2 linked regions of the Oryctolagus cuniculus genome follow. Each later gene encodes a partner of the first gene's protein in a complex. Links are inferred from orthologs where the notes say so. Each region holds a gene or a part of one and is shown in the gene's direction. Other genes may lie near its edges.

Region 1 (3,805 bases):
TTGGTTCACCCCCCAAATGGCCGCTATGGCCGGCGCGCTGCGTCAATCCGAAGCCAGGAGCCAGGTGCTTCTTCCTTGTCTCCCATGCGGGTGCAGGGCCCAAGGATTTGGGCCATCCTCCACTGCCTTCCCGGGCCACAGCAGAGAGCTGGACTGGAAGAGGAGCAACCAGGACAGAATGTGGCACTCCAACAGGGACTAGAACCTGGGGTGCCAGTGCCGCAGGCAGAGGATTAGCCTAGTGAGCCACAGCGCCGGCCTCTGGCTGTCTTGTTTCTTCTTCCTCATATTTTTTTCTTTTTTAAAGATTTACTTATTTTTGGAAAGGCAGGGTTATAGAGAGAAGTTTTCCATTTGCAGGTTCACTCCTCAAATGGCTGTACTGGCTAGGGCTGGGCCAGACCAAAGCCAGGAGCCTGGAACTCCATCTAGGTCTGTCATTGTGGGTGGCAGGGGCCCAAGCACATGGACCATCTTCTGTTTTTCCAATAGGAAACGGAGCAACTGGGATTTGAACTGATGCTTATATGGGATATTGCTTCGCTGGTGGCTGCACCACAACACTGGCCCCTCTTGTTTCATGCTTAGTCCTCATTTATTACTCTATAATTTTGAATTCTAAGCTCAAGGTTTCTGTAAATTAAATTTCATTTTTCAGGGAACAGATGAAGTAGCTTGTTATTTTTTAGTACTAAATTTTGTGGTCTTTTGATGCTTGAATTTTTTACTAGATTTTTTTTCTATATGAAATCAGTATTGGGCTGGCATTGTGGCTTAATGGGTTAAGCTGCAGCCTGAGACTCAGGCATTCCATATGGGTGCTGGTTCGAGCCCTGGCTGCTCCACTTCTGATCCAGCTCCCTGCTAAGGCACTTGGGAAAGCAGCAGAACATAGCATAAGTTCTTGGGCCCCAGCACTGATGTGAGAAACCCAGATGAATCTCCTGGCCCCTGGCTTTGTCCTGGCTCAGCTCTGGCCACTGCAGCCATTTGGGGAATGAACCAATGGATGGAAAATCTCTCTCTACCCCCCAGTCCCTGTAACTTTACATTTCAAATAAATAAACAAAAAATCAGTTATTGATAAAGTTTTTAACATTTTAATCCCAAAAGATACTTGCTTTTCTAAGGAATGTGACAAAGTGCAGTGTCTCTACTTTGCAAATGCAGTAACTAAGACCTGGAGAGGTTGTGACTGTTGAGATTTGTGGAAAACAGAGATCCCCATCCTTGACCTCTGGAACTGCCACTTCATATCTGAGTGACAGTGGCTTGATTTAGCCAGCAGTTAATTTGGTTTGATATTTTAAAGTAGGAAAGGAAGTACTAATTCCTACCAAAGTTTATTTCAGAATGCTTTCTTAATCAGTTGCTGTTTTGTTTCATTTAAACCAGTAACACACTGGTCTGTTTTCTGTAGTACACCTGAGCAGGAGCAACTCATGGTGGTGTGGCTAAGTTGGATGATAAAAGAAGAAGCCTACTTTGAGAGGTAAGACGACTTGATTTGTTTCAGTTAGCTAGAAAGCTTTTCTCATTCTTTTTGGAAAGCTGTATTTTCTTTTCTGTTTTCACAGCACTTCAGGTGTGTCTGCTTCATTTGGGGAGATGTTATTGTTGGTGGCCATGTACTTTCACAGCAACCAACTTAGTGCCATCATTGACTTAGTGTGTTCCACTTTGGGGATGAAGGTAATTTTGTTTTTTTAATCTTCTTTCTAAAAGAAAGTGCTTCTAAGCTGGACATGTTATTGTAGTGTCAAGTAAATAGATTGTTTTCATTTGTGCAATTTTAGTTTTTTGATAGTTTGAAGTTTTATCATGAGCTCCTGAAAAAATGCACTTGGAGAACACTTATTTGTAAGAATTATAGATGTCCAGTACAGAAAGCTTGGAAAATACAAAACAAGAGAAAAAATCTAATTCTGTCATTCAGAAATTTCAGTTATACTACAAGCACTTGAGCCAACTGCCTCTACTTTCCCAGGCTGTTAGCAGGGAGCTGGATTGGAAGTGGAACACCTGGGACTCCAACCAGTACCTTTTATCTGCTCTGCCACAACGCTGGCCCTACAGTGGTATTTTATATAACTCTGAGGGTACTTCATAAAGTATGTGCAAAAGTAGAATTAAAAAGTAAGCTTATTTTGATGCAAAAATTTTTAAATCCATGCCTACTTTTTTCTTAATAAACACTTTTTAGAAGCTTTTTGAGACCCTTCATTTGCATACAGGCACTCACACATCTATGTCTTCATATGCTTATCAGGTTGTTTCTTAGGATAAAGTTCTAGAAGGAAGTTGACTAAGTAAAGGAGTATGATTATGATAAGATGTTTCATGAGGATTGCCTGATTACCTTTCAGAAAGATGACACCAGTTTAACTGTCCCTGTTGCTGAATGAGAAATTCTGTGTTTGTAAACTCCCACTGTTACTAGGCATTACCATTTTTCTTAGTCTTTGTAAATTTGATGAAGAATGTTTTTACTTATTTTGTACTTCTTTGTTTACAAGTAAAACTGTAGTTTTTCAAATCTATGGGTTTTGATTGTTTTCTTTGTGTATGAGGAGAACTCTTTTAGTATCCTAATTTTTCTGTAGAAATTTTTATTTTTCCTTTCATTGATTGATCAGTGGCTCTCCCTATAAAAGAAAACCATTCTGCCTTATATAATCATGTTTTGTTGATTTTAAGACATGCATTTTACCCAATACTGACACTCATGATTCATTTTACAATGGCATGTAGTGTAAATGTGATGGTGTTCCCCCTCCTCCCTTGTTTCCTTGAAAAACTACTATTAAGTCAGTGATGTATCTTATATTACTTAGTATATTTAAAAGTGAAGTATAATGTTACAGTTGATTTTGTCAAGTATTTTTTACTATGTAGAAATTATCACTTTTTATGTAGTATAATATTTCTATTGTGATTTTTATTTTGCCATTGTGCTTAGAAACTTTCTTTCCTTAAGTTTTTGTAACTTGTCACATTTTATCTTAGTGGTTTTTTTTGTGGCTTCATATTTTATATTAAATATTTAATCCATTTGGAGTTCATTTGGGTGCATGATAGTGTGAGTATGATTAAAATGTATTGGTGTGTATTCCTACTACCCACACAACAAGATAGCTAACCCAGCTCCATTTATCAAATTATGCATTTCCTTTCACTGACTTTAAATGACAATAATAGAATTTAATAAGCTGTTTTTATATTGATTCTGTTTCTGAGGGAAAACACACTTTAATGTTGGGTTTGAGACATTATTTCTGAAGCAGAGTGTGTACTTACTTTTTTTTAAATATTTTATTTATTTATTTGAAAGTCAAAGTTAAACAGAGAGAGGAAAGGTAGAGAGAGAGGTTTTCCATCTGCTGGTTCACTCCCCAATTGGCCGCAACGGCTAGAGATGCGCCAATCTGAAGCCAGGAACCAGGAGCTTCTTCTGTGTCTCCCACGTGGGTGCAGGGGCCCAAGGAGTCTGGCCAACTTCTGCTTTCCCAGGCCATAGCCGAGAGCTGGATCAGAAGTGGAGCGGCCATGTCTCAAACTGGCACTCAAATGGGATGCCAGTGCTTGAGGCCAGGGTGTTAACCTGCTGTGCTACAACACCAGTCCTGTGTACTTACATTTGAATACTAAATTTTATATAAGCCCAGCCATTTTAGATAATAAAAGCACCAGAGTAAGTTGTGCTTCATGTATTGGATTTTCATGTGCTGTTGTAATTCTTTTGGTTATTTTAGATTGTAATTAAGCCAAGCTCCTTGAGCAGAATGAAGACTATCTTCACACAGGA
Region 2 (4,394 bases), on another chromosome or scaffold:
AAAAATCTCCAAGGTTGTCATAAATATCGGGAAGTTTTGAAACTCAAGATTTTAAAAAAAAATGCCACAACATGTCTTCTGTGTTAATAGGAACAATTTCTTTAAATGATCAGTAGGCACATAAAATTTCAAGATTAAAGAATAAAATCTGGAAAGGACAGGCTAACGGGAGGCGTCCTACAAATTAGCTATCCCTACAAAGGCCGCTTAATTAAGTCTCTTAATTGTATCTAAGGCAGTCTTCATTTTTTTCAGCGAGTTCGAGGAAGCTGTTTTTCTCGGAGCAGATTCATGACTTCAGGTAAGGCAGGGGCTTGACCGAGACTGCTTCTCACACACACACACGGGTTTTGGAGTTGGAGGGGCTGCTTGTAAGGGAGGGTTCTGGGAACCCCCGTCACTGTGTTATCTGGGCAAGTTCATGTCAGGTTTTTCACTTTAAAATGAGGGCAATGGATGATTTGCTAAAGTCCCTTTCAACTCTGAAACTGATATCCTATGACCCTGAGTAAACAGCTTGGAAAAAGTCTTTTTCTCTGGGAAGGAGCAGTTACGTTTGCTCAGGATAAAAAGGGTAGCAAAGCACTTATCCATAAGCTCCAGTCTCTCCCTAGGCCGTTCCCGGGTTCGGCGGCTTTCTGGGTGCCCCTTCCGACGGCAAGGCTCCGGGTCTGCCGAGCGCCGCCCTCAGCCTTCGGCCGTCGCCCCCGCAGCGCCCGAGGATCCGGGCGAGGCGAGGCCCTCGGGCCCACTCCCCAGCGGGAGCGGTGTGACTCGCCGCGATTAGTCCCCGGTCATAAACAACCTCTCACTTCCCCTCCCCCGCCCCGGGCCCGCCCGCGCTGGGCCGGCCCTCCCAGGCCCGGGAACCTCCTCCCGCCACCGCGGGTCCCGAGCCTTCCTCGCGAGGGCGGCCGCGGGCCTGCCCCCTGCCCTTAACCGAGTGTGTGTTCACTTTACTCAGCCCTCCTCGGTCGTCCACGTTACCAGCGACCTCGGAGGGCGAGCTGAGGACAATCTCCATTTGCCTTCCTCCGACCCCTGTCACCTCCAACAGCCAAGGAGAGGCCAGTGGCCCTGACGCGCAGGCTCACAGTGGCGGCCGCCCTGCGCGCGCCGACGCAGCCCCCGCCCCCCACCTCGCGGTCCTTCCGAAGCCAGTCCCCGCCCCTTCCCAGAGCCCGCCTCCGCGACGGCCCGCCTGCTCGTCCCTCGCGCTCGCTCTCGCGCGCACCCGACGCCCCGCCTCCGCGCATGCTCGATAACAACCCTCAGAGCCGGCCTACAAGCAGCCCCCGCCCCTGACCTGTTTGAATATGCTAATAAGAGCCTCGGGATTAGCCAATGGAGCTGCGGGGCGGTGCGTCACGTGGCCCGGGGACGTGTCAGGGGGCGGAGCCCCCGCAGCCCCTACCCGAGTTAAAACCGGAGTGTGAGAGAGAAAAGCGCTTCAGTAGCGAGAGGGGCTGAGAAAGTGGTGACACCGCCGGGGTGCGGAGGGAGTCCCTGAAACTTCTCCCAACAGCCCCAGGGCCAATCTCCCCTCAGCCCACTCCCCTCTTCGCCAGCTCCCAGGTCCCCACTCCCTGCACCGGGGGTGGGGTGGGGGAGCCAGGCCCGTCTCCCGCTGGGACACACACAGGGGCCGGGAGCGGGGACGGGACCCCCGAGGCGGGGGGGACGGACCGACAGACAGACGGCCGGGCGCCCGCCCCAGCGGGCAGGCAGGCAGGAGGAGGCGGAGGCGGGGGTACGACGGGGAGGACTGGGTCTGGGGAGTTTCCTCTCAACTATCGGGGGAGAAACTCCCCGCAGCCGGAGGAAAGACCCAGACGGTGTTTTCCTCCCGGGGGCCGCGCTCCCCCGCCCCGCGTAGCGGCGGCGACTGCCGCCGCCACCGGCGCCTCCACCTCTACCATCTCCTCTTTCTCCACCACCTCGGGCCCCGGTGTCCCCGGCCAGCACTATGCCCATCTTACTGTTCCTGATAGACACGTCTGCCTCTATGAACCAGCGCAGCCATCTGGGCACCACCTACCTGGACACGGCCAAAGGCGCGGTAGAGACCTTCATGAAGGTACCGACTGACCGAGCCCGGGGCGGCGACCCCGGCCCGGCGGCCCGCGGGCGGCAGGGTGGGGGAGGGCGGCTGGGGGCGGCGGGGCGGGGGTGTCGGGGACCTGACTGCGGGAGCTGCCGGGCTCCGGGACCCCCTCCCCCACCGCGCGGGCGGGCGGGCGGGCGGGCGCTGCGAGCCGGGCTCGGCCCGGGCCCGGGCTCCGGCCCCGGGGCTGGTGTGTAGGGAGCGATCGGTGTGTGTGGGGCGGCGTGGAGGGGTGGCCGCTGCGTGTGCGGATACTGTGGGGGGCGGCGGGGGACGCTGGGCGCCCCTTCTTCGCCTCGTAACCTCGCCTCTCTGCTTCCCTCTCGCCCGCCCCGTTCCTCCTCCCGGCCCGCAGCTCCGTGCCCGGGACCCTGCCAGCAGAGGAGACAGGTATATGCTGGTCACTTTCGAAGAGCCGCCCTATGCTATCAAGGTAACAGCCCTCGCCCTCCCCCTTCCCTTCCTTCCCTTCCCTGTTCCTTCCTCGCTCGCCCTCCCCGCCCCCCCATTCACCCTTCATTATGCTCCCCTCCCCCACCCGCTGCGCTCCCGGGGCGGAGGGCCCTTCCCCTGCGGGCTCCCACCCCCCTCCCCCGCTCGGGAGCGTCCCGGCGCGGCGCGGACTCGCCGGGCCACCGCCGTCCCCTCCCCGGCCCGGCCCGGCCCCGCGGCGGCAGCGGCGGCGGCGGCGGCGCTGCGATCAACATGGCCGACATTTCCCCTCCGCGGCGTGAGCGGCAGCAATGAACTGTGGGGGATATTTATTCAAGTTAGCCCGAGTGACAGCCGGGCCCGGCCGCGCCGAGCCCCGGTTTGCATTAAAGGGGAATCAGGCGCGCCGAAGGGGGCTGCGAGGCTGGGGCTGCTCGGATTCGCCCTGGGAGGGCTGCTGGAGGTTAACTTCCCAAGTGCCGCTCCCGGCCGCCTGCCCCTAGGACGTTTGCATCCCCACATTTTGAGTGTTAGATTAGGTAGTAGATTTCCCAGTGTGAAGTTAGAAAGTGTGCAGGCTGCTGGCTACCAAAAGCTGTAGAGCAGGCCGGTTGCTTGCCGGCTACCTTTGGCAGAGAGTTTCCTCAGCAGCGATAACAGTATTAACACGTTAACCCAACCATGTCAACCCAAAGTGAAGCAGCTACATGGTGCACGTCAGATTGTAACGGCTGGCCGTGTGCATTTAGCGTTACAGGAAGAAAAAAAAATTCTCACGTTTTTCTTTTCAGGCCGGATGGAAAGAAAACCATGCAACGTTTATGAATGAACTGAAAAACCTTCAGGCTGAAGGACTTACGACTCTTGGCCAATCCCTAAGGACAGCTTTTGATTTATTAAATTTAAATAGATTAGTAACTGGCATAGACAACTATGGGCAGGTAGGTTGAATATTAAAAGTGGAAAAATAGTTGATTTTTCTTGTGGGGAAAAAGAAAACAGCCCAGTCCCAAACTATCTAAGGTGAAGTGCAAGTGTGGAACATTTCAGAGTAAAATACAGTATGCACATAGTACAAAGGTGAAGCTCCGACTTACTGTGCATGGTTTTATATCCCTTAGTTTCTTTTCCCTTAAAAGGCATTTGTATTCAGAAGTAGAATCTGAAGTCTTTGCTGTAGAGTTTAATGTGAATGTGGTTTTCATTCCTTGAAAGTTCACGGGAGACAGGCCAGGAAGACCTCGCACCTCAGCATCCTCAGTTGCTCTGCTCCTCCATCCTCAGGCAGGTGTGCAGCTTTAGCGGTGGCCAAGTTGGACTTAGTTGTCAGTGGTTTTCATTTCCATCTTAGTAAACATGGCAGAGGGAATTATCCTGTTGGTTGCATCAGGGTTTAACTTAACCCTGTGTTCTAGTATTGTGTGAGTTCTCTCAAAGGTAAGATTTTTATGGAAGCACAATAACTGGCTGAGTACATTACGATTTTTTCTAATTAGCAATTATTGCAAGAGAAAGTCTGAATTAAATTACAGGTCCAGAATCCAGAGTTTTTACTTTTCCTAATTAGAAAAACAAAGTCTAAATCTCCAAACCATCAAGGAAAACAAGGCTGTCTGGAAAATAGGACAGAGCTTCCTTGACCTGCTGTCTCTGTATAGCACTTGTATCTGAGTGTGAGAGAAGCTTTGAATCACAATGATGGTTCACTAAGGAATAACGCAAGGTGATCCATATGACTTTTTAGGATATTGTTATCTTAGAATTAAAAAGATACTGAAGAATGTGTAGTGTTATTCATAAGCACAGAATATTATACACAAAAGAGTTCAAGTCTTTCATTGTAGTACAAAGCACTATT

What was found.
Region 2: the proteins of INTS2 (region 1) and INTS6 are in contact, whole or in part, in a cryo-EM structure (PDB 8RBZ), measured with the Homo sapiens proteins. The link is inferred for Oryctolagus cuniculus from reciprocal best matches to the Homo sapiens genes INTS2 and INTS6. Residues at the interface, in NP_065799.2 of Homo sapiens: Ile855, Asp856, Pro857, Leu858, His895, Arg923, Glu925, Leu926, Lys927, Ala929, Leu930, Ala932, Ala933, Gln934, Ser936, Ala937, Gln940, Ile941, Glu944, Asn1010, Lys1013, Leu1014, Phe1017, Gln1018, Gly1019, Tyr1020, Pro1021, Ile1046, Ala1047, Gln1048; in NP_036273.1 of Homo sapiens: Ile484, Val486, Arg487, Ser488, Arg489, Phe527, Gln528, Val529, Ala530, Leu531, Leu532, Asn533, Phe541, Arg542, Asn543, Ala544, Tyr545, Ile547, Arg549, Leu552, Leu553, Leu556, Met559, Arg560, Asn562, Leu563, Leu564, Lys565.

What each region holds. Positions count from the first base shown.
Region 1 is NC_091448.1:35,558,269-35,562,073, forward strand, and holds part of INTS2 (integrator complex subunit 2), read left to right. Parts: intron 1-1,420; coding exon 1,421-1,492; intron 1,493-1,577; coding exon 1,578-1,692; intron 1,693-3,752; coding exon 3,753-3,805. UniProt on the Homo sapiens protein: Component of the integrator complex, a multiprotein complex that terminates RNA polymerase II (Pol II) transcription in the promoter-proximal region of genes.
Region 2 is NC_091440.1:70,840,911-70,845,304, reverse strand, and holds the start of INTS6 (integrator complex subunit 6), read left to right. Parts: upstream 1-1,419; 5' UTR 1,420-1,966; coding exon 1,967-2,077; intron 2,078-2,222; exon of another isoform or gene 2,223-2,312; intron 2,313-2,459; coding exon 2,460-2,537; intron 2,538-3,327; coding exon 3,328-3,477; intron 3,478-4,394. UniProt on the Homo sapiens protein: Component of the integrator complex, a multiprotein complex that terminates RNA polymerase II (Pol II) transcription in the promoter-proximal region of genes.